4 linked regions of the Coturnix japonica genome follow. The protein of the gene in region 1 purifies or fractionates together with the protein of each later gene. This does not show direct contact. Links are inferred from orthologs where the notes say so. Each region holds a gene or a part of one and is shown on either strand. Other genes may lie near its edges.

Evidence for each region. The genes of interacting proteins can lie anywhere in the genome.
Region 2: the proteins of KRR1 (region 1) and GNL2 purify together in Homo sapiens (affinity purification with mass spectrometry; 3 studies listed by BioGRID and IntAct, with this or other methods). This does not show direct contact. The link is inferred for Coturnix japonica from reciprocal best matches to the Homo sapiens genes KRR1 and GNL2.
Region 3: the proteins of KRR1 (region 1) and DDX18 purify together in Homo sapiens (affinity purification with mass spectrometry; 3 studies listed by BioGRID and IntAct, with this or other methods). This does not show direct contact. The link is inferred for Coturnix japonica from reciprocal best matches to the Homo sapiens genes KRR1 and DDX18.
Region 4: the proteins of KRR1 (region 1) and NOC4L purify together in Homo sapiens (co-immunoprecipitation; 3 studies listed by BioGRID and IntAct, with this or other methods). This does not show direct contact. The link is inferred for Coturnix japonica from reciprocal best matches to the Homo sapiens genes KRR1 and NOC4L.

Annotation. Positions count from the first base shown.
Region 1 is NC_029516.1:34,298,393-34,306,492, forward strand, and holds the start of KRR1 (KRR1 small subunit processome component homolog), read right to left. Parts: upstream 4,525-8,100; 5' UTR 4,467-4,524; coding exon 4,403-4,466; intron 3,553-4,402; coding exon 3,374-3,552; intron 2,689-3,373; coding exon 2,554-2,688; intron 2,193-2,553; coding exon 2,067-2,192; intron 1,968-2,066; coding exon 1,884-1,967; intron 1,168-1,883; coding exon 1,111-1,167; intron 898-1,110; coding exon 727-897; intron 558-726; coding exon 480-557; intron 375-479; coding exon 281-374; intron 1-280. UniProt on the Homo sapiens protein: Part of the small subunit (SSU) processome, first precursor of the small eukaryotic ribosomal subunit.
Region 2 is NC_029538.1:3,325,516-3,332,933, reverse strand, and holds part of GNL2 (nucleolar GTP-binding protein 2), read right to left. Parts: intron 7,070-7,418; coding exon 6,975-7,069; intron 6,820-6,974; coding exon 6,680-6,819; intron 5,607-6,679; coding exon 5,422-5,606; intron 5,033-5,421; coding exon 4,966-5,032; intron 3,750-4,965; coding exon 3,591-3,749; intron 3,045-3,590; coding exon 2,931-3,044; intron 2,666-2,930; coding exon 2,537-2,665; intron 2,165-2,536; coding exon 2,060-2,164; intron 1,949-2,059; coding exon 1,790-1,948; intron 1,641-1,789; coding exon 1,533-1,640; intron 1,252-1,532; coding exon 818-1,251; intron 207-817; coding exon 127-206; intron 1-126. UniProt on the Homo sapiens protein: GTPase that associates with pre-60S ribosomal subunits in the nucleolus and is required for their nuclear export and maturation.
Region 3 is NC_029522.1:18,161,802-18,169,219, reverse strand, and holds part of DDX18 (ATP-dependent RNA helicase DDX18), read right to left. Parts: coding exon 7,415-7,418; intron 6,969-7,414; coding exon 6,868-6,968; intron 6,763-6,867; coding exon 6,563-6,762; intron 6,475-6,562; coding exon 6,360-6,474; intron 5,757-6,359; coding exon 5,617-5,756; intron 4,982-5,616; coding exon 4,820-4,981; intron 4,440-4,819; coding exon 4,287-4,439; intron 3,801-4,286; coding exon 3,687-3,800; intron 2,903-3,686; coding exon 2,846-2,902; intron 1,721-2,845; coding exon 1,543-1,720; intron 947-1,542; coding exon 804-946; 3' UTR 1-803. UniProt on the Homo sapiens protein: ATP-dependent RNA helicase that plays a role in the regulation of R-loop homeostasis in both endogenous R-loop-prone regions and at sites of DNA damage.
Region 4 is NC_029530.1:2,104,140-2,111,557, forward strand, and holds part of NOC4L (nucleolar complex protein 4 homolog), read right to left. Parts: coding exon 7,418-7,418; intron 7,280-7,417; coding exon 7,180-7,279; intron 7,020-7,179; coding exon 6,985-7,019; intron 6,886-6,984; coding exon 6,835-6,885; intron 6,686-6,834; coding exon 6,574-6,685; intron 6,428-6,573; coding exon 6,367-6,427; intron 5,788-6,366; coding exon 5,677-5,787; intron 4,341-5,676; coding exon 4,177-4,340; intron 4,004-4,176; coding exon 3,921-4,003; intron 3,021-3,920; coding exon 2,907-3,020; intron 2,607-2,906; coding exon 2,490-2,606; 3' UTR 1-2,489.

The DNA of each region.
Region 1 (8,100 bases):
AAAAACACGAGCACAGAGAGACACAAGGTTTACTTCTCTTATTTTTCCACAGCCTGTGAGATTACTTCATGTGTATCCACATTAAACTGCATCCCGTAGCATTAGTTAGGATTCATTTTATGTTCACTAATGATTTTATAAACTATTCCAATCATTTTTACTTAATCTAGCATGATACACAAATCTTTCAACGGAATTCAAATGGCTACATCTTACACAAAGTAATTATGTGGAGAATTAACTAGTAGGGTTTAGAATGGGGGAAAAAAAAACAACTTACCTTTCTTTGCTTTCACAGCTGGCTTTTCCTTTGGTGGGATAAAAGCTTTATTTCTTTCTTCTTGTCTTTTCTTGACTGCATCAGCTTGCTTTGCCTACAGTTAACAATGACAAGTATGAAGTACCAACAGAGCCGGGCAAAAGGGAAAAAAACCAAAGTCAGAAATGAAGCACTTTTTAACTGGTTGTAACAAATTTACCTTTATTTCTTCCACTCGCTTTCGTTTCTTCTGGCTTTCTTTCAAGAAGTATTCACCACTTGCCAATTCTTTATCAATCTATACAAGAAAATTACCAAGAAGCTTTAGACAATTACACATTACAAGCAAGATATATAATATCAGGAAACAAAAACATGACAGAAAGGGCCCGTTAACTTCATCTTAACGAGAGCAGGATTTAAAACCACCATATACTCCTGCACAACCAAATAAAGTTTCAGCTGACCTGGCTTTCTGGCTGTGGAGGTGGGAATGGTGTGTACTCCTTCTTAACATTTTTCTTCTTTGGCTCCTTGCGTTTTTTCAAGTTCTTCTTCTTGAACTTAGGCAAAAATCTTTCCCAATTCTGTGTCCTCAGTTCAGGATCTTTTGATAATTCACGTTTGATCATCAAAGTCTTTGGTAGTTTTAGAACATCACAAAGAAGTTAATAAAACAATAGTATTGCAGTAGTATCTAAGAGCTCCAAACTAAAAGTTTTATCAAAGGTTCTTATAGCACAGTTTACACATATACATTTATATATATTCGTATAGCACACACTGAAACATAGAATTATTAACATAAAGCTGTGTACAAAGACTTAATGCTTTCAAAGGTGCACACCAACCTTAATGTTATATATGGGATGTATATTCTTCATTGTGTCCAGAACAACCTTCCTAACCTGTATTTAATAAAAGAAAATGAATGGAACACTCAGCAGGTACTTCATACTCTAATCAATTAAAATATCAAGGTCCCTAAGTTTCTTCAAAATCAGAACATTTCTCACCCCAAAACTAAGAGCAGATAGGCTAAAAAAACTACAAAGCCAATTAGAAGGCACAGTGCTTCAAAAATATCGTTAGCTATACTGTCATGCTTCTGATACACTGCAGCATCACAACAACCACTACTTTCATGCCATCATGGATGTTATGTTGTGTTTTAGCTTTTGACATCTATTATTCCCTCTAGAATTACTAAGAATATACTAGATGTTAATCCATGCTATATCACATTAACACTGCGATGTTTTCACTCAAACCTCTTAACTGAAACTACAGAAATTCTGCACTGTAAGCTACAGAAATAAAAGCCCAAGGGGCAGGACTAGACACACTATTCAGAAATACATGAAGGTGCCCCTTTGATATCTTTACTAAGCCTTACCTTAAAAAAAAAACCACAAAAAATACTTTTAGTTTCAAGGCGGAAAGATCTCAGCAGCTAACAAAATTCAGGAGCTAAGCCTATAGGAATTCACATAAAAGTAGCTTAATAACATGTTACTGAAAGGACAGTGGAGTAACTCTTGAGGCTACCAGACTCCGCCTGTACTCCACGCCACAGCTAGGCACAAAAGTGAGCTACATAAACTGCTCATCTGCCTTCCCTTACCTCTTTTAGCCCACTGAAAGGTCCAAGAGCTGAAACAGTGTTGCCTTGAACCATAATATAACAGTTGGTTAACAGCTCCAGGGCCTAGAACAACAAAAATGAATAAAGATAGTGTCAGCTGAAGGTCTGACACGCAGACCTTGTGTTTAAGATTTTTTATGGTAATACACTTATGAGGAATACCTTCAGAGTAGATCCTTTGGGCCCAAGAAGTCGTCCTCTTCTTTTTACAAAACTTTCTCTGTTCCTCACTAGGGAACCGATTTTAATGATGTCACACGCAACATCGTCCTGAAGAATACGAACTGCCTGAAGATAAAAGCAGCAGGTATTAACATCTGAATCCAAAAGTAACATTCACAAGAGCCAAAAGACTCATTTCAGTTGCAGATACGTTTGTTTTAAATATATATTTTCATATAATTATAGAATCACTTGAATTGGAGGGACCTTCAAAGGTCATCTAGTCCAGTTCTTTGCAATGAACAGAGACACCTACAGGCAGATCAAGTTGCTCAGAGCCCCATCCAGCCTGACCTTAAGAATCTCCTGGGATGAGTAGATACATACCTCCCTGGGTGACCTGTTCCAGCACTTCACTACTACCTGAAAAACCCATATTTTGAAAGCATACAACTTTATAAGCATTACAACATTATTGGCTACAAACCTGTTCAAATGGAACGCTTCTTGCCAGAAGTTTTATTAAATCTCTAGCCCTGATGATCGCATACGGATCAAAAGTCTTCTTAGTAGTCGTGACCGTCATGCTTCCTTCAATTAGATCCAGCGTTGCATTCACATACTGCAATGTGTGCAAATAAACAGCAAAGCAATCTTTAATTAGAAATCTAAGATTACATTTCTGGTAGCATGAGGTTAAGATGAAATCTCCTCATCTCCTTTCAAGTTAGCAGATTGTGGACAACAACACAGAAAGAATCACAGAATCACAGAACTGTAGGGGTTGGAAGGGACCTCTAGAGATCATCGAGTCCAACCCCCCTGCCAAAGCAGGATCCCTACACCACGTCACACAGGTAGGTGTCCAGGTGGGTCTTGAATATCTCCAGAGAAGGAGATTCCACCACCTCCCAGGGCAGCCTGTTCCAGTGCTCCGTCATCCTCACTGTAAAGAAGTTCTTGTGCACATTTGTGCGGAACTTCCTATGCTGTACTTTCATCCCATTACCCCTAGTCCTGTCCCCACACACTACTGAAAAGAGACCAGCCTCACCACTATGGCTCCCACACCTCAGGTATTTATAAACCTGGATCAAGTCCCCTCTCAGCCTTCTTTTTTCAAGGCTAAACAGACCCAGTTCCATAAGTCTCTCCTCATAGGGGAGATGCTCCAGGCCCTTCACCATCTTAGTGGCCCTCCGCTGGACTCTTTCCAACACCTGTTACTGGAGCAAGCTTTTATGCCAAAGTAACACCTGTATGTCCCAAATAACAGAGCAGCACATCACAACAGTAAGAACTCATACATGCTCACTCAGGGCCTTCTGGACAAGCGGCCAGCACTCCTTCAAATAGGCTTCTCTGTACTTGGGGAATAACGTTGCAAAGCTGCTTTCCTCCAGCAGCCCTCTGGGATTGTCCTCCCTGGTAAACGCTGGTTCCTTCCATCCATCCGGCACAGTGAGCAGTTCGGACTCATCGACTGCTATGGATTAAAAGACGACAGTTCGTTTCTCCATCTGAGCTATTCCATCTGCTCCCCATCTAAATACAGAACTAGAGATAACAGAACGCAGGCACACAGCAGGTGCTGCGTTCAACGCTCTGTTGGAGTCATTCTGCATCTCTCCTTACAGAATCACAGAATGACCCAGGTTGGAAGGGACCTCAAGGATCATGTAGTTCCAACCCCCCTGCCTGGCAGGGCCACCAAACATACACCTTTACTAGATCAGGTTGCCCAGGGCCCCGTCCAACCTGGTCTTGAACACCTCCAAGGACGGGGCATCCACAACCTCCCTGGGCAGCCTGTTCCAGGACCTAACCACTCTCCTAGTGAAGAACTTCCCCCTAACATCCAACCTAAATCTTCCCTCTTTTAACTTAAAACCATTTCCCCTAGTCCTGCTATTATCAGCCCTTTCGAAGAGTTTACTCCCCTCCTGGGAGTAAGTTCCCTTCAGGTATTGAAAGGCTGCAATGAGGTCACCCCGCAACCTTCTCTTCTCAAGGCTGAACAAACCCAACTCCCTCAGCCTGTCCTCATAGGGGAGGTGCTCCAGCCCCCTGATCATCTTCCTGTCCCTCCTCTGGACCCTTTCCAAAATCTCCATGTCTTTTTTGTACTGAGGGCTCCACACCTGGACACAGTACAACAGATGGGGCCTCACAAGAGCAGAGTAGAGAGGGACAATCACCTCCCTATCCCTGCTGACCACCCCTCTCCTGATGGAGCCCAGGATCCCATTTGCTTTCCTTACGGAAGTTACTGCCTTTCCCTCAGCACAAGAGAAGGATAATCCCGGCGGGCAGCAGCCCCGAGGCCCCGCACCCACCTTTGGCCGCTTTCTTCTTGCCGGGACGCCGCGCTTTCTCCCCCTCCGCCTCAGGAGCCGCCATGCTTACTGTGCTCACACAACTTCCGCCCGACACCGGAAGCGGAACCGGGGCATCGCGGCATGCCGGGAGCTGGAGTCCTACAGGCTGACAGGGCGAGACCAAGGCTGAGGCCTATGGGGGTTTGCGAGCCCCTGGGGCAGCCTAGAGAGCGGTGCCAGGCTTATGGAGGCGGGTTTATCATCAGACCTGCTCATAAAAGCCCGCCCTGTGAGTTGTTTAATTATCAGGGCCCTGGGCAACCTGATCTAGTAAAGGTGTATGTTTGGTGGCCCTGCCAGGCAGGGGGGTTGGAACTACATGATCCTTGAGGTCCCTTCCAACCCGGGTTATTCTGTGATTCTGTGTGATCATCATAGAATCACTGAATGCCTTAAGTTGGAAGTGACCATAAAGGTCATCCAATTCCAACAGCGCAGCTTAAAACCATTCCCTCTAGTTCTGTCCTTGCAATTAATTCCTTGTAATATCCACATTCATTTTTCCCTCTTTTAGTTTCAAGCTATTCTCCTTTTCCTATCACTATCAAACTGTAAAAATTCGGTCCTCCTTCAGCTTTTAAGCTCCCTTCAAATACTGGCAATCTGCAATGAGGTCTCCCCGGAGCCTTTTCTTCAGGCTGAACAAGCCCAACTCCCACAACATTTCTTCATAAGAGATGCTCCAGCCCTTTGATCATCTTCGCTGCCCTCCTCTGGACCCCCTCCAACAGCTCTCCCTAGTATCCACTATACACATGTGTAAAATATCCAAAACTCAGTATTGACACCCAAAGACCTTCCATTGTGCTGCACTGCTGCCTTTACCCGCTGGGTGGCACTGACCGCCGCGACAAAAGGAGCAGCCCCAGCGAGCCTCGGTGCCCGAGGAGCAATGGATCCCCCTGCGCTGCCCTGGCAATGAGAGCGGACAGAGTGCGGCTCAGAAGTGTCTGGTGAGATGCACCTGGATCTTCTCCACATTGCAGGCACGCTCCAGGGACGTCTGTCTCCAAGGAAATGGCGCTGTTGTTCTGCTTTAATTATGCCATAATTAAGTGCAACAAAACTGTTTGGAAAGAGCATACGTGCATGGCAGAAAGGCTCTGATATTGCAACTGGCTCCCCTGCAACCATGAGCACTAAACAGGGAGTTTATGATCCTGTGTTGATAGAGCACTTGGCATTCACTACACCGCCCTCATAGAATCATAGAACCAGAGAATCGTGAAGGTTGGAAAAGACCTCAAAGACCATCAAGCCCAACCATAGATCCAACCCCTCTACTCCTGCTCATGGAATTGTAGAAGCATTAAGGTTGGAAAAAAACTACTAATATCACCCAGTCCAATCATTGACCCATCTATGCCCACTTCCATCCACAGGGTCTCCAATTCCTTTCAAAACCAGACTGAAACCCATGAACGTGACTACTGAGCTATTTTGCGTACAGGAATATTAAGATGCAGACAAGATATTTTCCTTATTTTATCTCCAGGTGAGATCAGCCCACATGCAATGTGAGGATGAAAGTATATCACGGTACAGGGAAGAAAATCTAGTCTCAAATGAAGAGACAACACCATCAGACTTGGATGATGTGACTCGGGAAGGCCCCTCATGTCATCCATCCTGCTCCTGGTGGAGACAGTGACTTCTCAGCTTTCCTCTTATCTCAGGTTTTGCAGAGGAGCTGAATACAAGGAAGCCGCCTCCCTAATTCCTGTCACAGACCAGGTGCTCCCATAGACCCTTGTCCTCCTCCAGTCAGCCCACTTGGGTTCAGACGATGACAGATTTATATCACTTTTGTCAGACACTGCTCAGATGCAATGGCCAGCCCCAGCATGTCTGGCAGTGACAGACTGGGAGGTGGGACAGCTGTCTGGGGCTGGGGACTGCTGAGGGTACAGGGAGATGGAGGTTGCTGCAGGGAGATCCAGCAGTGCTGTACCAGACTGTGATGGGGCAACGTGTTTTCTTAAAGCAGGAGAACTAATCTCACAGAACTGTAGGGATTGGATCCTACCTCTAGAGATTATCAAGTCCAAGGCTCTGCTGAAGCAGCTTCCCTACAGTAAGGAACATGTATCACATTCCCTTTGTGTGATGGCAGACCTGTGTGCAGAAGGCTCCTTTGAAGTCTTTTGGCTGAATAACACAGATCCTAATAATAATAATAATAATAACACAGCCTCCAAGACCCCTACATCTGCTGATCCAGTTGCTGGGCCCTGGTGGAACCCAAACCAACTCTGTGTGTGTGTCTATGTGCGCTCACTGCTTCCCTGTTAGAAGCAAAGCAGACAATGAAACAGCACAGTCACACAGCTTCCCCTGAATGCACTTCAGGCTGTATGATAAAATGGGCAGAGTGCTGCCGTTAGGCTGAAGGTGCCTCTATTATGCAGCAAAGTAATTATTTCCCAGTCAGTAGATAGGACTCCAGCCACTTGGCACTTTCTTACGTGCCATTTTCAAATCCAAAAGAGCAACTTGGGATTTTGTGATAATTCAGGCAATCAGATGAGCTCATGCACATGGCATTCATTCACTAGAAATGCTGTGCAGATCCCATTCAGCCCCAGCACTCGTAAATCCATGTGACACTTTTATCTATTTATAAACTTTTAACAGCAGGTTATGATTGTTATGCAAGCCATTTTCCAGGGATTAATAAGCAGCTTGTGTTGATGGCAGTGAGAAGAACCATTAACTGCTCTGGGGCAGTCATTAATCTGTAGTAAATGCTCAGCACCTGCATCTTTTCTATGTAATTAAATAATCGATACTGCCTTTTGATTCAAATAACTGGAGAATTGTATCTCAAATCTGTCTTAGCTCAGGATATTCTTAATTCTTTTCATTTATGGCAGGTCAGGAAACAGCCACATGGGCAAGTGAGAGTCTCTCATGCAAAACACCTCAAGTGATCAAAATATAATTCAAACTGGATAAAAAATGGTTGAGAATGTGTTGGCCTTCTCATGTTCATATAAAAGTCCTCCATTATTTAAGTAAAGTTATGGCACCAACTGACCCAACACTCAGAGGCAGCCTGACAGAATAAAAATAACCAAGCAGAGAGCTCCTCTGCCCAGCTACCTCCAAAAAAGCCCCGTCCTCCTAACACGACCAAGGCTGACATGGCTTTGCTCTTGATTTCTCTTTCCTCTTCATTTCTCTCTCTAGCAGAGGTGTAGCACTTTTCTGGTTCTGTTTTATTCTTGACTTCACTGCTGAGTGCAGCAATCTGCAGAGGTGCTGACAGATAAAAGTAACGGTACCCAATGCAAACAATGCTGGTGTGGTGCTGCTGCCAACTGCAGGGAGCCTGAGGAGGGGGAGGTTGTCACAGGTGGCAAGCAGGAAGTAGGAGGAAAACACAACTTTCTGAAGAGAGAATGAGACTTAGTGTATCATCACAGGGTCATAAACAAATTCTCAGTTCTGGGCTCTCTTTTCACCAGGTAGCAAATCCATACCTTGCCACAGGTTCAGGATGGAGATATAACTGCAAACCTTCCTGCTAGTTGGGTTAAAGGAGAAAAAAGAGCAAGCACTCACACCATCAGCTATCTACTAATAGTGCAAGGCTGAAAAGCCAGGGGGGAGATTTTATGAGAAATGAGAGGTGTATCACTGATTCAAGAGCAGAG
Region 2 (7,418 bases), on another chromosome or scaffold:
TATAGCAGCTTTAGGGAAATAAGAACTTGCAGTGAGGAGCTAATGAACACCCTTCCTTAAATCCCCTATTTTCTCTCTCTTATTGGATTTCCAGACAGAGATCAGGAACTACCAATTTCATTTTACCTTTCTCTTCCTTTTCTTTGGTCTCTTCAGCCTTCTGCACAGATTTTGCAAACACTTTTTCACTCAGCTGCTTAGGGATTCTACAAAAGATAAAACAGACAGCAAAAGAATGTCATAATACAAAACTCAGCCATCTCTAAGAAGCGATCCATCTCTGATAGGTCCCAGCAGCCTGTCATCAGTACAGCCGCAGACTTTGCATGGTAGAAATATTCCAGTAATCTTGTCTCTAGAGTTACTGGACTTCTGCATTGCACAAAGGGCAAAATTTAACACTTATTCTTGACGTCTTAGTCCTCACAAACATGGTGGATGAGCTCCGCTAAAATTGGGCCTGTCATACGAGCTGGGATGCTCTTGTAAATGCACAGAGACTCATGTACAGATAGGACACTGGCCTCTGTATTACTCAAGAAAGGTCAATATCAGGGAGATGCAAGGAAGAAATATTGCTACCCACAGGTTTCTAAACCATACCTGAACCAACAGTGAGAAAAACTTCCGTTATTATGGCCAATAGAAATTCTTAGAACACTCTCTCAAAAACAAACTGCTGCTTAGCCAAAAGAAAGCATGGCTAAAGTAGAGAAGCAATGGACATAAAGGCAGTGGAACTACAACAGAAACTCACCATCTCTTTCCCACCCCCCCGCAATGGAAAACACTCGAGTCACTAAACAGATTCAGATACCTTATTGCTGAGAACCTCTTGGCTTTGGCCTTATCCAGAAATTTCTTGCACTTTGCAATCTTCTCCTCCAAAGCCTGAAGAACTTCCTTCGAGCTCTCCCTGGCACTCTGTACAGTTGGCTCTGATTCTTCCTCTACTGAATCTTGATGTTGCTCATTTTCTTCTTCCTCTTCTTCCTGTTCCTCCTCTTCAGGAGCATCACTGTCTGTTTCATCAAAGCCTGGCACATCTACAGGAATTAAGTCTTCTTCTGAGAACTCAGGTGCTACATTAATCCTCCCAAAGTTTTGCCGAACATTTGCCATGAGCTGCTTCATTTCAGTGTCTGCATTCTTCTTCTCTTCCGTTGGCTCCACATTTGATGCAACAGACTCAGAAATTTCCTTCTCATTATTAAATTGGCTTGATGTCATTGCTCCTTCCGATGCGGGTGGCTAGGAAAAAGGGCGTAATGGATATATTATCCACAGCCTGTCCAAACATCCCCTTGGACGAAGCCTAAGATAACTAACAACGTGGTAATTACTGACATTTCTACTAGTTGGATGACTGCAAAACAGTTCAGACATCTCTGTGGAAGAGTTCTTTGCTATCCGGTGCTCTGAATCATGTCAGGAAAAGCCCAATTTACATGGTGCTCTGGCAAAAGCATCAGTGAGTATCATTAGAAGAATGGAATAATATGCAAGAAGAGGCACGAGCCTCACATCCTTACCTCAGCAGCTGCTTCTGCATTTGGTGGCTTCACAAAGAACGGAATTCTGCCCCTCTGCCAGTCATTGAGAACCATCTTGCTGACAGTTTGCAGATCAGGCTCACCACCCTGAAAGAATTCAGTAACAGTTTCTGTCCTTGTTTGCAGGGCATACCATCTTTATATTATCTCTTTGCAACTGAAACGTATTTCGCACTTCCAGTGCAGAAACAAACCCACATGCTCTTCCAACCTGTAAATACAGGATGCTCTCAAACCTTTAGTAGTTTTCCAGTCCTAGCAGCAAGCTTCTCAAGGAAATCTTCTGTATCTTTCCAGAAATCAATTTTGTATGTCTTTCTGATGTACTCTGGCTTGGCTCTTTCCAGCACCGCACTAATGTGATCTTCAGGGCTCTTAATCTTTTCAACTTGAACCTAAAAATGAATGGTAAAGTATCAACCCTTTGGAAAGCGTGCAGACACTTCTTTGAACTCACCATGGTGAAAACAGCAAGAATTTTCCCTGCACACAGCACAGATACATACCACTCCCTTCAGAACAATGTCTGTTTCTGAGTCTCCAGATGGATACACCACCCCTGGGCAGTCAATGAGAAAAATCCTCCTCATCAAAGTAATGTATTGCCACACCTGAAAGATATCAGTGATCCCCACGTTACCTCCTCTCATGCACAACTGTTAGTTCTGCTTTTAAATGCACAGGTTTAATATACGGAAGTCATAAACTTGGCATTAGCACACACTGAGTCAGTGCAGCTGAGTGTTCAGATCACACAGCACTGCACAACAGACATAGAAACTCAGAAATGCTTTTGAGCAGCAGCACTCCAGAACAACGCCTGGCTCATCAGCCACCCCTCAGACTCAGGGTGATGCAGCTTGTGTAACTTCAGTGACCTGGAAACATTAATGAGCTCATTTTATATATTTTCTGCCTCTGACAACACAGTGGCATATTTATAATATTATTTTTTAACCTTTAAAAGAGCAGCGCCTTCCTACCTTAGTTTCACCTGCAATGGGAGCCACACTGCAGACCTTCTTAGACCGCAACGTGTTGATCACTGAGCTTTTGCCAACGTTTGGGTATCCAATAAAACCCACACTGATCTGTTTCTTATCAGAGTGTAACTGTTAAGAAATGACACATCATTTTAATACCTCATAGAAAATGACACAGTTACTATTGCAGTTTTAGGAGCTTCTGGTTGTATAAAAAAGCAAAGGCTGCTTCAAATACTCTGTCCAGGGGAAGTATTTTCCATTTCCACAGAATGAAGCTTGTTTGCTGACAGAATGGCCACGTGAAAGTGCACTGTACCCCACACATTAAAACAGATAAATCCCATACTAACCCCAACCCCAAACAATATAAAGCCCCACAGTTGTTCTTTACCTTTCCAAACTGCCTTAAAAGCTGTATGAAAGCACCTTTGCCAAAAGGGTTTGTGAGGCTGGCGTGAAAAGCAAGTGTTGGGTATTCCTGGGAAAGGACAGCAACCCAGCGCTTCTAAAGAGGAAAAACACTGCTCAGTTATGAATGCTGTGCTGCAAAGGCAGTGAAACAATTTCATTGTGAGAAAAACCATCTTCACTTGAGTCACATAACACAACTATCTATAAAAGTTGCCACGTAAGAAGCTTAGATGCATTTTATCAACCCAATAGCTAAAAGCACTGCCTATTGTTTTCATAAAAAGATGATTTCCCCCTAAATGCCTTCATTGCTAATTAGTTTAACAATGTAAAACAGACCAGCTGTGGTGGACATGGACCTTAAACGTACTAACATTTAGCATACTCTGGAGACATCAGCTGAACAGTTAAATCCAGACAGAGGAAGTAGAGAATTTGTGGCTGGTGACTGTTGCTCAACTGAGCCAAACTTGGACTGATTTAAATGGTAATTGTTACTTTTACAGCAAGCAAGCAGAGAGTTCCCACTGACCCAGTTACATTATGCCCTTAAGAGACTAGAACAAGGACTGGCAACAGAATTAGAGGCTATGAAAGGAACAAAATACATTCAAGGGACAAGAGGCAAAGCTGTGCTTACAGTAGCCCAGGTAGGAACAAGATCACATTTGTTCAGGACAAAAATGAGATGCTTCCAGTGTTTCTCTTTTTTCAGATAAGATTCCACATGAGGGGAGCGAGTACCCATAGGATCTCTGGCATCAAGAACTTGAACAACAACATCTGATGAGTCTATCACCTGGAAAAAGAAATACATATATATATATCATACATACACATATATCGCACAGAAGGAAAATAATACACATTTCCAAAATATAAAACAGTAATCTTCTAAATTCTTATCGTTATAGGATAAAACCTTACATCCTTTAGGAATGACTGTTAGTTTCCTGTAACAATCTCTACTCTCTCTTCCCTGCTCCCCTCCAAATTTAGGCTGGAGAGCTGTGAGCAGCTTCTAGGAGCATTTGGGAAGGGAAACACTACAACCAAGCAGTAAAGTTATTTGCCTTAGTGGGCAAAAAGAATGTTCTTCATCCATTCTATAAAGGATCGGGACATAAAGAGCGTTTGCTGGATCAGTATGAAACACACAACCAAGTAGGAACCTGCTGTTAGTCCACTAAGAATCTACAGCAGGGAGCTGTCATTTCATGACTTGCTTCAAGCCAAGAGAATTTGTTTCACAGCTATTTCCTGCATTTTTGGCAGAATCTTATTGAAATCTGTTTTGCTCTATGATTCCCAGCACTTCTAGGACTAAATGAGAAAGTTCTAAGCTACATTCAGAAATTTGGGACAAGTCAAGCAGTTTAACAACAGTCACTGAGAGCAAACAAACTGCACTTACAAATCTAACTCAATCTCAGGCTTCATTCCTTTAGCACCAGTGGCAACTCATGGGGAAGGTCAGAGAACCCCAAAGAAGATCTTATTAACACGATGCATCCTCAGTCTAAAGAAACTTAAGGGCATCTGACTGGTTTATTTGTGCTAAAGCCCCAGGAATTGTTCATTTTACCAGCTCATCTTTGGATCATATATTTTAAGGATGTATGTTCCACTGAGACAAGAGCTCAAGAATCAAGCTTAGAAGCTTGAAAATGAATCTCCCTGCTACTCTACAACTGTTTCTTTCTGTTCTAGTTGATGGTCTGGTTCAACACCAGTCCAATGCTAGAAAAGAGTGTATGGATTTACATCAGTCAGTTCAGTTAGGCCGACAGGAAAACAAGGAAGAGAATTATACACTAAGGATGTCTCTGAACAGACACCTTTGCTCTACAGAAAATTCAGCAGATCAAAGCTTCCCTAACATGGCCAGACATAACTGTACAGTTCTGAGAGCTTTTCAGAGTCACACAATATTTCCAACGCTGTGCTGCAGCACCGGACTTCACAAAGGCTAAAATACAGACAAATACCTGCTGCAAATTATAAGTGTTGCTTACCTTGTACAGCTCACCCCAAATTCTTTTTGACTGTCCTTTCTTAAATATTTCCTCTTGTGCTTCATCCCTGGAAGTGGATCACCAGAGACATCAACAACCACAATAACAGGGCTGTAGTGCTGTCTTCTCTAAAGCCAGTTAGCCATTTACAGAGAAAAGAGGAGATTAGACCCAGTCCCTTATTTAACCCAATATCTGAGTTCACAAATTTTCAGATATGCAACAGGAAATGAATTAGCAATGAAGACAGAAGGGTCCCATGGAAGCAGGAGTTCAGTTAAATATATTGGGATGAAACAGCCTTAAAATAAAATCCAGCCAAATTCAGCTTATTTCTCATTGCATACTCGTCAATCAGGCAGTAACAGCATCGATAGAGGAACTAGATGCGCTTTTTTAAATGAATGAAGATGTATAAGAAATGTAAATAGAGAATAATTTCTCCTTCCTATCTACCTTACTCCAGTGTCTTCAACGACCAGGTCTCTGTCTTTGCCCTGATCGTAACATTCTGATGAGGCTTCAGCATTCTCCAGCAGGGACTGTACATCACTTGCAGCAAGGTTTGGCCTTTTCCTCTGTGCTTTGGGGCCAAATGTTGTTTCAAATGTTTCTGTGTCAAGAATGTGAACTCTGGAGGTCTATGGAAAGATGGGTTGTTAAAATAAGAAAACACACCCACAATCTCTAATATTCCATCTCTCACGACATGCAGCCTACAAGATCTCAATGCAATGCAACTCTGTAACCTCTAACAAGAGTCATAGGCACTTTCCTAACAGTGTTTGAGTTCTGCAGCTTAATTTCGAGAAGCACAAACACGGATATTTAACAAGCACCAAACCAGGCTGCACTTGCCAAAGAACCATGCTTCACTTCTTCCTGCATAAATGATGTCCAAAGTAATTAAGGCTGCAATGATGAAAATTCAGCTGCTATCTTTGATCATTCCTTATTTTTCTAACAAGTGCACAAATCTCGCCAAATTCACAGATTTTTGTCAGGGATAATTACAGTCAAAACTGTAAAATTTGAAGCCTGTAATGAATGCCAACTTTTCTTGGAACGGCAGCAGTTCATAGCTGAAAGAAATCATTTGTTTTTGTAACACTTATTTTAGTTTACAGTAACTTTTCCCTTCATTTAGGTAACATTTTTATGACACAAACGTGGCAACTTTCCATGTGAAAAATATCTAACGATAATCCAAAATAATAATACTTCAGGGGTTATGAAAGCAGACTGGTAATAACTAAAGCTTTAGGCACTTGAAACTCAATTTGCCTTGAAACGAAAGCAGCACGCAGAACTTCTGATTCAAGATAAAAAGCACATATTTGAGTTCAGGCAGATTCAGTGCATGAGAGAAAACACGCTAACAGAACAATGCTTCCTCAGCACTGTCACATCAGCCATTAGAAGCATTAGGACAGAAGGTGACAAGTTTATATATAGTCATTTTAAATGCCATATTCTAACCTAGAGTGCTTTCAAGTAGATTTCCTGTGAGAAAATGTGAATTCCATACCATAGACATCACAAACCAGACTGCTTTCATAACCTCTGTATCACATCCACAGCATTGTGTCCTCAAAAATATCCCATTCCAAGATATTTGCCCCAATTCCTCCTCCAATGCTTCTCCAAACGTAGCCAGTTTCCCACATATAACACATAAAACAGCCTTAACCCAATGCAGATGAATGACACTCACGTGAGGTTTAATCCGATCGTGGAAAAGAGACATAGGTAACTTGCTTTGTTTCATGACCACTCTGTATGGATCTTTCATGACAGTTTCCATTTCTTCTTGAAACTTCTGCAGGGATGCCTGCTTGACCACACGAGTATTCCCTATGTGTAAGAATAAAGGCTACATCTACACCATTCATCACCTTTAACTGCTTCAGAGACTCAGATTACACCATGAAAATATCAATACTTCAACTGCAATAAAAAATACCAACCAATCCAAGCTTGTTGAATGGAGAGCCTGAAAGAAAACTCACCGAACCATTTAATATTTGGTTCCACTCTTGCAACTGTGCCTGGTGCCACTGTCGACTGATACTGCAGAGGTTTAATCACTTTGCCACGTTTGTTTCTAAGTGAAGAATGAAAATGCATGTAAATACATAATGAAACCATACATGCCTATAGCACTTTGATTCACTAGAGCCACTATTCACCCCCTTAGTACCCATCTAAGCCTATGCCTGCACAAAGGCAATAAGTTAGTTGGATGAGCTATCACACCTGCTGGCATACACTGCCCTGTGATGATCCTAGGCTTGATATTTTACCTGTTTGCTGTGTCAAATCACAGGGCAATATCTCTGAAAAACACCTTACTAATCATCTTAGTGCTTTGAACTCTAGTTATTCATAAGAAGCATCTGGGTACAAGCTAAGTACTACAGGATAACTGATACAAACACACATACACACACAAG
Region 3 (7,418 bases), on another chromosome or scaffold:
TAATTGTCTTTGCCTGTTCAAAAGAGAATAGACCAGACATTAACAGACAGATTTAAACAGACCACAAAGGAAAACCAAGTAATTCACTGGAATGTTACTGTTTTATCATAATATTAAAGAAGTAATTCTAAGAATGACTCAGATTGGTATAAGAAGCTGGGTTTTTTTCTTCTTTAATCTTAGACACTGTATCTGCCATCCAGATGCCATGAATTAAAATAACTACAAGCTCAGTCATAATAAGATTCAACAACATACAACGATTCTTGTGGAAAAGAACGTATTCTTTACCATGTCTGCTGGATAATGAATTCTCTATCACTAAGACACCCCACAATGATCCTTGAATAAAAATCCTTTTATATTTTTTACACTAAGAATGTTTTCAGACACCTATGAACTGCATTTCTTAGCATAGTGAAGTCTCTTGCTGTGCAAGTCACCTCACATTGGAATCTGTCCCTATATTCTGTCTAGTCTGACAGCTTCCAGGGGTGCATACAAAAAGGGTATATGCAAAATAAGTTTTCCTATAAAAAGATGAAAATATTTTTTCTTTAATAAATCACTGAGTTGAAACAATTACATACATCCATCTTCTTCTTTACAAGAAGTCTGGCTATCTCTCTGTATTCTCTTTTCCAAAGAGTCTTCCTGAAATGAAACATTAAGAAGCTCTGAAACAAAAACTTTTCTCTCCCTAAAAGGTTCAGCAGAGAAGTTTAAAATGGAAGTAACTGCCAAGACAGTTTCGATCAGGGCAGCATACAGCACAACAAAAAGCCACTGTAATGAATGCACAATTAACGAGAAAACTGCCGATTGTCTGATTTCTTGCTAATGTGCTTGAAGATTTTAGCTTTGTGGACACTCTTTGGTTTCTGGTAACCAAATCCTCCACCTCCACCTCTTTTCTGTAGTCTTCTGCCTTGGTTGCTGTTCACATCTGGAATTTTATGGGTTAAGGAGCATAACAAAAGCCTTAATTGAAGTGCTGCTTATTGGGTCTTACCACCATTATTAAGAAGAGAATTAAGTATTACACAAAACACACCGAACTGTGTTAGGGGTGGACCTGTCATTCTACTGAATGCTTTTATTCTTCCAGCTGTTCAACTAATTCAACTGAAGAAACACTGCTTCAACTTCTCTCCTTCCATTTTCACCTTTGACAAGAGGGGTCCATGCCCCTGTATTTCAGTACCAGACTCTAGAACATGCATGCAATATTCCAGTACCTACAAGGCTGTAGTAACTGAAGTCCATATCTACATTAAAGCAGATATTTTTAAGCAATTATTAAAACTGGAAAAGCTGCCATTTAACATTTTCTCTGATATTTGGACATGATGCATGTTAATTATTAATAATAAATGTAATAATAATAATAATAATAATAAATAATAAAATAAATTAATAGCAATACGAAATAAAACGCAACAATAAAAAGCAGAATTTCAAACAGCATATCTACTTCCCTAAGTTCCATTTAACATTTCTAAAGCAGGAACTCAGCTTTGAAACACAGCAGTAAAAGGATACTGAGGTCAACGTATGGAGGGACTCTAAAGCCAAAGGAGAGGCTGACTTTGTTAAGATCCAGGTTCCCCACGTTATAGATCTGCTTCAGAGAATGAGAGTCATAAGCTCTAATGTAAGCTTTGTATGCTTCCTGGGCTGATTTGTGAAGGAAGTAGTTCTTTTCGATCAGTTTCTCCAGCTGATGAGAAAGGAAAAACAGACATTACATTATGGAATTATGGCTGTAACAATAAATTACATGCAAGCCAATTATTTACTCTGTGCACTGCAGTGACATTCACTACTCACTTAAATAAGACTGTACTATGACAGCACAGTACACACATCTACAGTGCTTTTGCAACCAGGCACTAAAAGCCTGAAGCTGAATTGTAGTACAAAGCCTCAGCAATGAGAAACTTTAAAAACATTACATTAGGTTGTCTTAAAGAAGATCAGAGAGGAGTATGCAACTACAGCCACAGTTATGTGTAATGAGAATTAATGGACAATGACAATACACTGTTAAGTCAGACATCTAATCTGTACCATCCCATATAATTTTGCTTATAGGTCTATCTAAAATACTGGAAATTCACCATAAAACACACACATTATTTTTAAGACAAAAATGAAGATGCAGTAGTGTAGACAAGTATTTTATTTGTTGAGGGCTATGAATGTCGCATTTGACTGCTACCATACATTAGTTTGGCAAACTAATATTAAGTTACATTAGGCATTAATACTTCCTAACCATTCTTATCAACGGAGGCTCTGTAAGGACTGTCCTCAATGCTTCTGGCATTCGCTATGTCAAATTCAAGTTATTACAAAGAAACTTCACACAGCTCTTAAGAAAACGCTTCACAGAACTAAACAAAAATTCACACCTACAGAACTATCCATGTTATTCTCTTGTACTCTGTCCTCCATTGTTATTTTTGTAGGATAGAAACACACACCAGGCTTGGCTGATGCCAGGCTTCATTAATATCAGCTTAATAAAACTATACTTGGAACATATACTGGCATTTCTAGGTGTTGGTACTGATTTTTTTTTTCCTGTATCTGAAGGCTGAGCAAATTCTCTTGTAAAAGCTTAGATCTTCAGAATTAATCTAAGCACGCATAACCATTCTATAAAAGCTACTGGAAACACCGCGTTTGCTATGCTAGACAATATTCTATTCAAAAGTTGAAAGCATATTTACACCGCTATGATTTCTCAAAGTACTGTGAAAAAAGCAATCCTTATGAGCAAATGCATTTGGTGCAATAGCAGCAATGTAGTACTGGACATTAAAAATTCTTCATTTCCTACCTGAGCCTGAATATCTGAAATCTTCGACCAGGAAAATTCAAACTCACTGAGTGGTACCTTAGAAGAACGAATGATAAAATACATAATCTAGATTATTTCTACTGTACAAACAGTAACATGTAAGATGAATAACAACAGATGTGATAGAAACCAAAGACTATTTTTTAATATATAACACAGCTTTACCTGTCAATGAATCTAAAGTTCAAGGCCATGCTTTAAATTAAAAGTATACCTTACATATTTTTAGGTTTTTGACATCTTTTACTTAAAACAATGATGACAATATTAGTAACCCTTATCAGAAACAAATTTGCTGAAATTGCCTCTGCATAAAGAGGCCAGCATTGTATCTCCTTGAAATTAGGGTAATAAAGATGCTCCTTATGACCTTTTCATTGTTTTAATTACAGATGTCTGTAAACAACCCCATAAGAAAAGCCACTATGAATCTATGGGCAGTTCTCTCTTATTAGAACTGTTACATTTGGAAGAAGGCCACCCTTCCTTTGGAATTGAAAACAATGCAATTGTTTTAATAGAAAAATAAAGAACTGCACTGGCCAAGCTTCCGGTATCTTTTCATGAAGAGGTGATAGGAAAATTATATGCGTGTATTTAATAATACACATTGCACAGCTGCAAATAAAAACACATGCAGTCACCTTTGAGTCTAAGGGTAAGCAGAACAGAGTTAGACATTCAGTCAAATACTTTCAGTCACATGATGATTTATGTTCAGAAATTAAACTGTATTGTTAATCATTGAGGTTTTTGCCTTTAAAATGGTGACTGCACAGTAAATGCCAACAAACCAAAGGAATTCTACATGTAAGTTTACCCTGGCTTGTTTCAGGTAACGGAGAAAGCCCAGTTCTTCCGGACGTAAAATGAGCAGAGCGTGTCCTCTACCATTTATACCTCTGGCAGTTCTACCAACACGGTGTATATACTCCTTTTACAGAGAGAAATGAACAGTTAAGTCCAGACAGTCTTTCACACTGGCAGTAATACAGTTTACTGAAAAAGCATTTAACATTAACATATATCAGCATCGTCAGTTACATTTAAAGACTTTCTAAGCACTGAGGTATGGATGAGGCAAACCAAGCGCTGATGAAGCAAAGTGCATAACTAGTCGGGACAGAAGTACCTGACTAGAAGCACCTTACCTTGCCTACTGAAGGTAAATTCATGCTTCTAACAAGTATTGTTTTGTTTAGCTGATTAGATTTCTAATTACTTTGGTACCATAAAGTTATGTTTTATGTCTCTGCTAGCTGCAGCACTTCCCAGGATCAGGTGGAGAGCAACGTATGAAATAAGCTGCTAGATGTGAACACAGCTGAATTCTGACCTCTGTTGAGCAGAAGATTCAGGTTCTCTCTGCAGCGACACTCACAGCTACAATCTGAAGGTATTTTTTATTTCCATAACTTACTTTTGGATCATCTGGAGGGTCGTACTGGACAATCCAGTCCACCTCAGGAATATCTAGTCCCCTGGCAGCTACATCAGTGCACAATAGGATTCCAGATTCTGCATTACAGAACTGGAAGAACGTCGTAGTACGTTTTGTTTGTTTCTGCTTGCCCTAAAACCAAAAAACACATCACACAAAACAAGAAAAAAAACAGAAGAACACATACGTTAAGGATGTCCACTAAAAAAAACCTGCCAGTTTATAAGCTCCAATGCAATTTCTCATTTCACAGATTATATCACTGCCAAGAGATATAAAATACTTCAGGGCATCTCTCTACTTTATGGATTTGCACAGACCAAGCAGAACCGTTTCACACTGAAGAAGCAGTGCTATCACAGTAAACATGTACCTCTCAGAAGTTACACTGTACATTCAAGGTATTACAACCACAAGTTATGTAAGAGTTATTATCAGAGGGACTGCATAAAAGCCTGATGTTCAGACACAGGCATTACCAGGTTAATTAAAAATACATATGAAATACTTACGTGAATGGCCAAAACAGGCAAATCAATGTAGTTGAGTAATTCATAGTGGTACTTCACTGACATACATGAAGAAAAAAATACCATTAGTTTCTTCTTCCGGTTTTTCTTCAGGAACGTGAAGAGCAGAAGGAATCTTTTTTCAGATGGACACACTACGTAGCCCTAGAAATTATTTAAACACTGTTAAACATAACAGCACAGAACACACTCTGCATAAATAGCACAGAATACACAGGGGATTATTTGGCAAAAGTCAGTTTCCCAGCCATACAGAACAAAGCTATCTGATTTACTGCCTGGTTCTCACTTTATTATATGAATCCTTCAGCACTGACAACAGCAAAAACTAACTCTACAAACTAGGAAAGAATTTAATTGGAATCATTGAATTCTTGCTACTAGTTTACTCTATAAAGGTAACTCCTACCTATTAGTATTTTAAAACAATTATCATTGTATCAACTGCACAAACCCAGAAACTAAAGCGCAGTTCCATTTAGCCATTATCTGAAGCAGGAAAAACAAAATCTCAAGTGTTCTCTAGTCAGTAACACAGTGCTTATGTATACAATACAGGCAGTAGTTGGAACGTGTAACTAACTGTATCATTACTTCATTATTTTTTTACATAACCTTTTAGATAGCAGTGAAGAAACCCCTTAGGCAACTGTTAACTTTTGCCCATTAGGATGTTAAACACTTCATGGGATGCACAGTTATACAACCCATTTAAAAGAGCATAGGGCCTGCTGGTTTGTTCTCAGACTATACCCCTTCTAGTAACATTTATGTTTTACCTGTTCAAGGCCATCTACTGTTGCTGTCTCCTTGTTATCATCAACTCCTACATACAGTGGTTCTTTCTTCAGAGAAATCTTGGCTAGATCTTCCACCTTCCTGGTTTGTGTAGCAGAAAACAGCATCGTCTGTCTGCGCTCTGAAAATAGTTGGTTATAAGAATGCTTCATTCATTTAAACGAGAATTCAAATAGCAAATCCTTAACCCCTTTAGCTGCAAACTCCCACGGAACAATTCTTCACCTTTTTTCTATTAATTTAAAATATACTTCTACTGATAAACAAAGGCAAGTATCACTACACTGTGTACTATATTGCATGATATTTACTTAGGCTGCCACCATCTCCAAAATCTTAATGCACTTCAGCTTTGCTAAGCTTTTCTTAGACAATCCATAACATACACAAGTAAAAGAAGAATGTTAATCATTAAGGTATTGCTATGGGGAGACTAAAAAAATCCAACTGCAAGCTAATACATCTTTTTCCTATTATTTCCTTAAGACTAATTCGGAAATAATGAATAGCAGGAAATAAACAGGAAAAGATGAGGTGTCCTTCAGATAAATGTTGCTAAATAATACATGCCAGCTATCAGAAAAAATGGACACAGTTAAGAGCCACTCCAAGGCACATTATAAAACTATCAAAATTAATGACTTCTCTTACAGTAATTCAATCATACAGACTACATAATGTTAGTAAAGTAATTTCCAGAAAAGACAGTTTTTTCTCTCCTTACTTGGTAGAAGTTTTATGATCTGTTTCATTTCTTCCTCAAATCCAACCTCTAAGATTCGATCCGCCTCGTCAATCACCAAACACTGTAAGTTCTTGTACATGAAACCTGGAGTGTTCTAGAAGATTAACAGATTTGAGAGTTAGATGAGGACAAAGGTCTTATTACCTCTTATTAAGTAAGAGGTTATCGTTATTTTCATCTACCTGCATATGATCCAGAAGCCTTCCTGGTGTTGCTACAATGATGTTGATTCCATTTCCAAGTTTCTGAGCTTCTGCTGATCTGTTACTGCCCCCCATGATCAGACCATAGGTGTGAACGTGATGATTCATAAGTTCTTTAAGAACTCCATAGGTTTGCATGGCAAGCTCTCGAGTAGGTGAAAGAATAATAACACCCGTCCCTAAAACATACATCAATTGACCGGCATTAAGTTACAGTTTCTCCAGCCCTTTCACAGCCACATCCCTTAATATCTGGGCCACTACAAAATGAAGGAAATCCTTACCGTTTCTAGGCATGAATTTTAACTTGTAGATGAGCTCTACTGCAGGAATGAGAAATGCAAGTGTTTTGCCACTGCCTGTTTTGGCAGCTGCTAAAATATCCCTGCAAAAAGCAAAATTAAGATAAAGAAGTGTTAAGGTCACCCAGAAAGAGATCCTACATCAGAGGCAGTCAGCCCTTAAATGAGGTCTAAGAGAGAGATGCAGACAGGCTCCACACCACCCTGTCACACAGATAAATTGCCTTCATCCCAGGGCTGACTGGGTCCTTTCCCCAGGTGCTCAACCAGTGGTTCAGGCTGTCCCATACAACTTACCCTAAGTATTTGTTCACACATAACATATACTTAGGGTAAGTTGTATGGGACAGCCTGAACACACATACTTCATTAATTTGCATTCATGACTACAAACCAAATATTTAAAATACAAAATAATGTTTTGAAAAGAGCGCAGCTCCAAGAAGTCACATTTCTTCTATCTAACTTGTTACCGACATTCACACAACATCTGAGGTCAGTACAGCAATTATACAGATACACTTCTTACCTGC
Region 4 (7,418 bases), on another chromosome or scaffold:
AAGTTAAATACAACTACCTGTGATTGATGCCTCTCCTCACATATGCACTCCAGCCACAATCTGGATAATGTGTAGCGTTATTAAAGCATCAATTATCTCCAGCACAAGTGGAGCTACATTAGCAGGACTGCAGTCTGTTCATTTTGATAAGGGTTTCTCTGTTCGTTTATCAACAGAACGGGGACACAGCAGGGCAGGGATCCTGCAGGGTTTACCTCTGCTGGGATGGAGTTGACACTCGCATCCTCCCTAAGTGCACTGTCAACAGCAGCACGCTGATTGAGAGGGTTTCTTTCTGAGTACTTGTGAGCCTGGGGGTCCAGCCCTCTTGAAGCTAAAGCAGTTTGTCAGCTCACGGTCCAGCCCCTGTACACTGCAGCAGCCCCTAACCCTCCAACCCATCCAGAGGTCCATGGAGCAGAGGAGGGCTCCCATTTGGCTAAGAGGACACTTCCAAATACCCACCAGGGATGTCCAAATGCGTGGTGTGAAATACTACTTCACAGGCAGACCTAATTTCTTAGGAGGCCACTGCCAGCCTACAGCCAAGCCTTCCTATGTCCCCCTGTGCTGGAAGAGGACAGGAGTGAGCACTGACTGCCCTGAGTAGACAGCCCTGTATTCAGACCAGGTCTGCACCAATCGCCAGCTGCATTTGCACTTTTCCATCTGTTTACAGTCACTTCCCTCCATCCATCAACGAGTATCTTAAAAGTAAAAATCTAAGCTGATTAACGCTAACACCACGGTCACCTGGACCTTAAACTCACACGATAAATCTCACCATGCTCTTGACGAGCTGCATTACCTTCTACCTTTGGGCTAGAATGACTTTAAATGGCTTTTAAATGAATGAAAGCTCGGAGAAGCAAACCAAGGGCAGCCTGCTGCGAACTGGAGACCTTATCACTGTCCTCTGGTGGGGGAATAAGGCAGTGCCAGGCCAGGGAGGCAGCCTACGTCAATGTTTAGATAAAACAACCCTTTCTGCTCACTGAAATAACAGCAACAAAAAACAAAACACAACAGCTCCGTCTCCCTCCCTACATCTGATAACAATCAAATAATAACAGGAGTGACTTACGCGCTCTCTGCCTGGTACTTCAGTCTGGCCTTCCAGTTAATACACGCTATGATTAAAGCATCTATAATCTGCAGTCCGTGGAGACCTGTAGAGCACAGCAGCAGCGGGTGTGCAGCCTGATAAGGGTTGTTCACTCTGTGCAGATGAAACTTTCAATATTTATAACTGCTGATTTTTTTTTATCCCAATGCCTCCTATTGAGGGGAAGAGGGTGAAAGTTTAAAGATAAAAGCTTGTTGAAGGACCAGGTGGAATGTTTTCCCAAGGACAGGCACAGGGTTACAGCTCTCTCTTCTAAAGGGAAAGTTTAAGGACATTGCTTGGGGATGTGCAGCATCAGAGACTGGGGATGAAGCCTTTGGAATTATGTAAAGGCCAGCCAGGGTTTCAGCTGTGAACTCCTCTGAGAAAGAGCTTAACCCTTCTTCCAGATACACGAACCCAAGAAAACTCCCTCATTTTCAATATCATGTATTAAAAAAGAACCCCAACACCCCCATAACATCACTACTGTGGAAGATACGAATGGCATTGTCCATCAGTAATTTCAGCCAAACAAAAAAGATGCAGAGAAAGTCAGTGAAAATAATTAGAAAATAGAATCCTGAGTGAGTTGATCTGCATTCTTAACAAGGAGTTCACTTCAGGCCAAGGCACAGCACTTAACAATGTGGAAAACACTATCAGAAGGAATTTCTGCAGGACCTCTGAAACCGTATGAGAAATCCAAATTAACAAAGCCATTCCAATATCAGTGGGGTAGTTAAAACTTAACTAGCGCCTGCATACACACCGGCCACAGCTTCTGCAACGCCTGCAGTTTGTGAGCAAAATTACATTAAGCTGCTTATCATTCTGAAGCAAAAAAATCAAGGATTAAACTACTTTCCAGTGCACATCAGTTGGCCGCCCTACGCACTCACCACCATTATGCTCATTTCCAAAGCTCATGAGTATTTTGAATTAAGAATGATGTTTACAGTTATGCACTGAGGTCACTCACTACACAATGGTTGCTATAGGAAATGAACACATCTGAAACACAGAATCAATACCACCCAACCCCTCAGACCCTCTGAATGGCAGCAGGGCGGTCTGTCGGTGCAGTCATTGATCTCAGCCAGCACCAGCAGCTTTGGAAAGAAGGGCCAAGATCCCAACAGTGAACAAATCCAGAAAACAATACTGTGAGGGAAAACCCCTCCAAAACATCATTCACAAAGAAAAAAAGTCTGTATGTGGATACTGGAAAAGGTCCCTGAAGAGGGCTGCTCCTTCAGAAGGCAGTCCAGTTTTCACCTCTTAAAGAGATATTTCAAAGGCAGAATTGTCCAGCAAAACATGTGAGTTTGGTGCAGGTCCTGAAGGTCCGTCAGCTGTGCAGATGTGTTTTTAAGAGATGGCATCAATCTAAAGCAAAGTGCTCTGCAAGGATATCGTTTTTCTTCCCAAACAAACCTCGCGCTTGCACGAACTCCAGCGGCACTTTAGCAGATGTTTTCTTTATTTCTTTATCAAAAAGCTACAAAAAGAGAAAATATTGACAAAATTCAGTACAATCCCCTTACTGTGGCTGATACCAACACTCACCCTAACACAATAAAATATACAGTAAACCTTTTAAATGCAATACAGTCCTGCCGCTACCGCTGCCAAATGCTCCACCATTTAACAGACATTTTCCCCTTGGCTGTAAGCAACCAAAAGTCCACCTAGCTCCTTCCCCAGCAGCAAGGCTGATCAACAGGACAGTGCTGTTGCAGTCAGGAAGCAGTCTCCCTTCCTCTTGTTATAGTCATTCCCAAAAGCACAGCAATACTACCTCAGAAGCTGAGAGCTCCAAGAGCCCTGATATGTCATCCTCTATTTCAGACAGCGACTGATTGAGGATAGCAGCTGCCTGGGCCACATCTGGGTAATAATGGTTTTGTAGAGACTGCAAGATAAAGAGGAGAAAGTTTAATGAGCACACGGTAACACACATCCACCTGGCTTTATGCACAGGTATCCTAACAAACCCCTTGGTTACGAACATTAATTCTGGCAAAGGAGGCAAGTCTGCTGTACTGCGTTATTACACAGCTTAAAGACATACAGTAAAATCTGTATGTCTTGAAGCATTAGCCACATTTAAGACATAATTAAAGCACCCTTCCACCAGGTTCACATTCAGCCCAAGACAGATGGATTCCTCCACTGGCTGTAGCTACTGCAGCACACACCTCAACTCTGCCACCTCCCAGAGCCCCACTGCTGCATCTGAGCTCCCGCTCTCTCCTGCAACACCCACCTTGCACAAAATCCTTGCGGTGTTTAAATGGGAAGTGATAATCCTGCCACTAAGGTCACCAGGAGCAACTCAACTAATTTCAGCTTTCATACACCATCCTATGAATGTTCCATGTTAAGAGTGAACACTGCAATCTTCATCATTTTAGAAGTCATTTCTACAGGATGACCCATCTGTACTCAAGTTCCATCAATGCTCAGCATGCTCTTCTCTCCCCTCCAAAGCAAGTAGAAAGCCCCATACATTTGCCACTATTTACTCTTTCAGCTCTTAACAGCCCACTTTCCAGCTGCATGGCCAGATGTGCACTCACAAGACTCGTGCTAATTAGCAGGCACTAGTTCTCATGTGTTTAAAATCCTCTGCCTCTTACACTAAGGATAGAAAATGATGTGAAGAGCCAGAAATTCATCTCATTTGCAAGACGTGTCTGTCAGAAGGTTCATGGAAGTGATAGTGCTGGCTGCCAAGTTGTGTCATGTAAGCAGCAAGGGTGGGAGAAGGCTGTACCTACCATACACAGATGTGCCTTGTTAGATGACATACCTGAAGCTCCCAGAGCGAGCTCTCCAAAGCCCTGCTCTCAGATGGCTCCTCCTGCTCCATAATATACGGATCTTCTGACAAATCTAAGGGAAGAGACACAGAGCTAAGACCTCCTGCAGTGTCCATGACACCAGAGGGAACCCAGGGACCCAGAGCAACCAACACACTCAGGATCTGGGGCCAGGATCTCTCCAGGGATCCTGCTCTTCATGCTGCCTAAAGGTGTAACACAGAAGTCCCCGCCTTTCCCTCTTACCTTGTGGTCCATTAGGTCTGTGCATCAGCACTTTGCAGGCCGGGTGCCTCCGAAAGAGATTACAGATGAAAGGAATGACCATGAGCAGAGCCTCGGGAGGAGCAGTGAGGGCCAGCCGGGACAGGCGCTTTATGAATGCTGCCACCAGGTACGCTGGCAAGTGACTGTGGGGAAGGAAGAAGACACCAGAATGTCAAGAGTTCCAGCAAGTGAACCAGCAGACATCAACCCAACCAGCATGTCAGGCTAAGGACCAGTGGGATTCCTCAGCTTTTTGGACTATGAAATGAAAAGGAATCGTACAGCTATGAATTGTGATTTCAAGCAGTTACGTGGGGTCTTGTGTGCTGTCTGGAACAAATTTTGGGGCATTTCCATTCAGTGCATGAATAATCTCACATCAGTTTGTGATTGAACCCAGACACAGGGCACTACTCCAGACACTTGCTGTAGCCAAGCACAGCTCTTGTACACGGCCATTCACACTGCTGTCTTTATTCAGTCATTTTATAAACTTCTGAGTATTCGGCCAGGCAACCTTAATTATATTTTTCTAATGTAGTTCTGTGGGTTTAATTAATACACGTGCCATGGTGTTAAATTTATGTAATACTTGCAGGACTAGAGCAAGCGGTGCAGCTTGTAATGGGAACATAAAGCTGCTGTCACGTAAATGTGCAGAATAGTTCTCTTTTATGGTAGAAATGCAGGTTTTTAACAGCAATCAGCTCGTGTAGATACATTCTTCAGGTCAGCAGAGCTGGGATGAGATGACAATTTCCAGCCACTCATCCCACAGCCCCAGGGCTCCCTACACCTGCAAGGCTCAGCCAAACCACCCCAAGGTACAACCATCTGCCATGTCTTGTTACTCTCTCCAGAGAACACTATGAGCACCAGGGGGGTGATATTAAATATCACGCGCTGAGCATTACTCTTAGTTTATTTTACAACACATTATGGCAACTCTATGACCAGCTGCATATCTAGTTTATTCCCTGGGCATGATGAATTGACAGCATCAAGACAGAGCGTCAAATGCTTTATATTTCAATATTACACGTCTGCAAAAAGGTCATCAATTTATCAACAGATTTATGATACTGCGTCTATAAAAAGCCTGCAAATGTTCCTTTTCCATATTCATAAAGATGGAGAGAAAAATCATCACTTTCAGCCAAACTGGAATACAGATCAAAATACATCCATAATGATTTGCCGATCAAACTCAGATAATGAACTGCAGTTTTAGTCTGTGAAACCAGACAGATGCGTGGCGCATCTTCAGAGACATCACATGAAGAATTACAGCACTGCAGTAACACTCTTAGATTCAGTTTTCTCAATAAGAAAACAAACTTAATTCAGCGAGCACAATGACTACATTAAATCCAGACACGGGAGACTGTTGAAGAATGGACTCTGGCCAACTGAAAAGTAGCAGCAAAATGTATGTACGTATATACTGAAAGGTACATATATACTGAAGGTTCTACTTACGATGAAGACAAAAACAGATCAGCCAAATGGAAGAAGCGGGCTCGGTACTTCACGTGGTAAATGGAAGGGTCCAGGAGGCTGTAGAGCTTTTTGTAAAAGTCAGGGTATTCCCTATTGAGAAGGCAGGAAGGAAAAAGACAACATCCTTTGCTGATTAGTGACATCCAACAGGACTACACTGTGTTTATAATGTCTGAATAATGACCGAATAATGTCTATATGCTTCTAAGAGTTCTTCATAAACCACCCCAGATCACTGCTGTGTTGTGAGTGCCTGATGAGCTGCCTTTGGCTTGCCCCCACAGCCACCACTTGAAATAAAGCTGTAAGGTGAACTTCTGGCTGGTGCAGTGCCCAGCTGTTCTGGAGATGTGAAAACACATCCACTGACTGCAAATGGCACAGGATCCAAAGACTACAGCTCTGCTACACCATCAGATCAATGGAAATTGATTTCCAAGAGCTGAGCAACCACTGTCTGGAGAAGAAAGTATTGAGGCTTAGCTCAGCTGAAAAAGAGGTCAAACTATCAGAAGAGCTCAGCATCCAAACAGCTGAGCTGCTTGGGCAGAGCTTGGCTTCCTAATGGCCAAAGCCTGAAGATGTGGAGAATTCTTTTGAGTTCTGTTTATGTGAAGATGTAGATGCAGACACTCGTGTCCCTTTACACAGTGTGCTCCTTTTACTTACAGATTATGCTGATGAATCAGAATAAATAATCCATTTAAGGCTAGAAGACTAATTGCTCCACCTGTAAGAAAGCAGGCATCTATCAATACAATAGATAGATAAAATGATCAGCTACAACCTATTTCATTATTAAACCTTCCTGAAAGTAGCACAAAACCAACAGTGTCTGTAAGTAGACACAAAGGCTAAAAGCCCATCTTCACTCACCTACTCCATAGGCCGCTGTCAAGAAGTCGATCATGAGAGTGGGCTCGTTCATGTGAGGCAGGATGGAGTCATGCAGAATAACAAGAACTTTTTTGTAAAGGCCACTGGGAAGCTGTGAAGAACAAAGCAATACAGTCAGACCATCACAATGAGAAGAACCTACCAGGGGTCCTACCAGGAGGATCACATAAAGGATGGCTGCAGCCTCTCAGGATTAGCAACTGGAAAGCAACGTGGATCAGCAGCAGAAGTACCACTCACCTGGTGCTTCAGAAAAGTGAGCCACATCCTTTCAAACGCCTGCCTGTGTGCCTTAAAACAGAATTGCAGGTAGTGAGATAAAGACATGGGGTAGATGAAGATCTGTTTCCAGTAGAAAACAGAGCTCTTAAGCAGGACAAGAACATTTACCTGCAGCCTCGACACCTTCCATTCCTCCTGGTCATCTGAGAAGGTAAAGGAGAGATGGACGTTGAAATGGATGTTAAAAATAAAAACAATGATTTGTTTTCAGTCCTTTGAGCCAATCCCAGTTATTACAAATACCCCCATAAAACTGAAAGAGTGCAAACACACTCAGATAAGAAGCAAAAAAAGTTTACTAACCTTGCTTCACCATAAACTTGACCATGTCACGCTCCTTGTTTGGCATGTTAATGGGGGAAATGAGGGAAAATACGTTCTGCTGGTAAAACGGCAGCGGCTTCTGAAATAGACACAAAGCAAAGGAACTCCTGCTTCCAAAGTGGTTCCACATACCAGTGGTTCCTCCCCACTTCACAACCAAGGTGTGCGTGCTTTAGAGCAGCAATTCATCCAGACCCACCCCAGCACAACTCCTCACC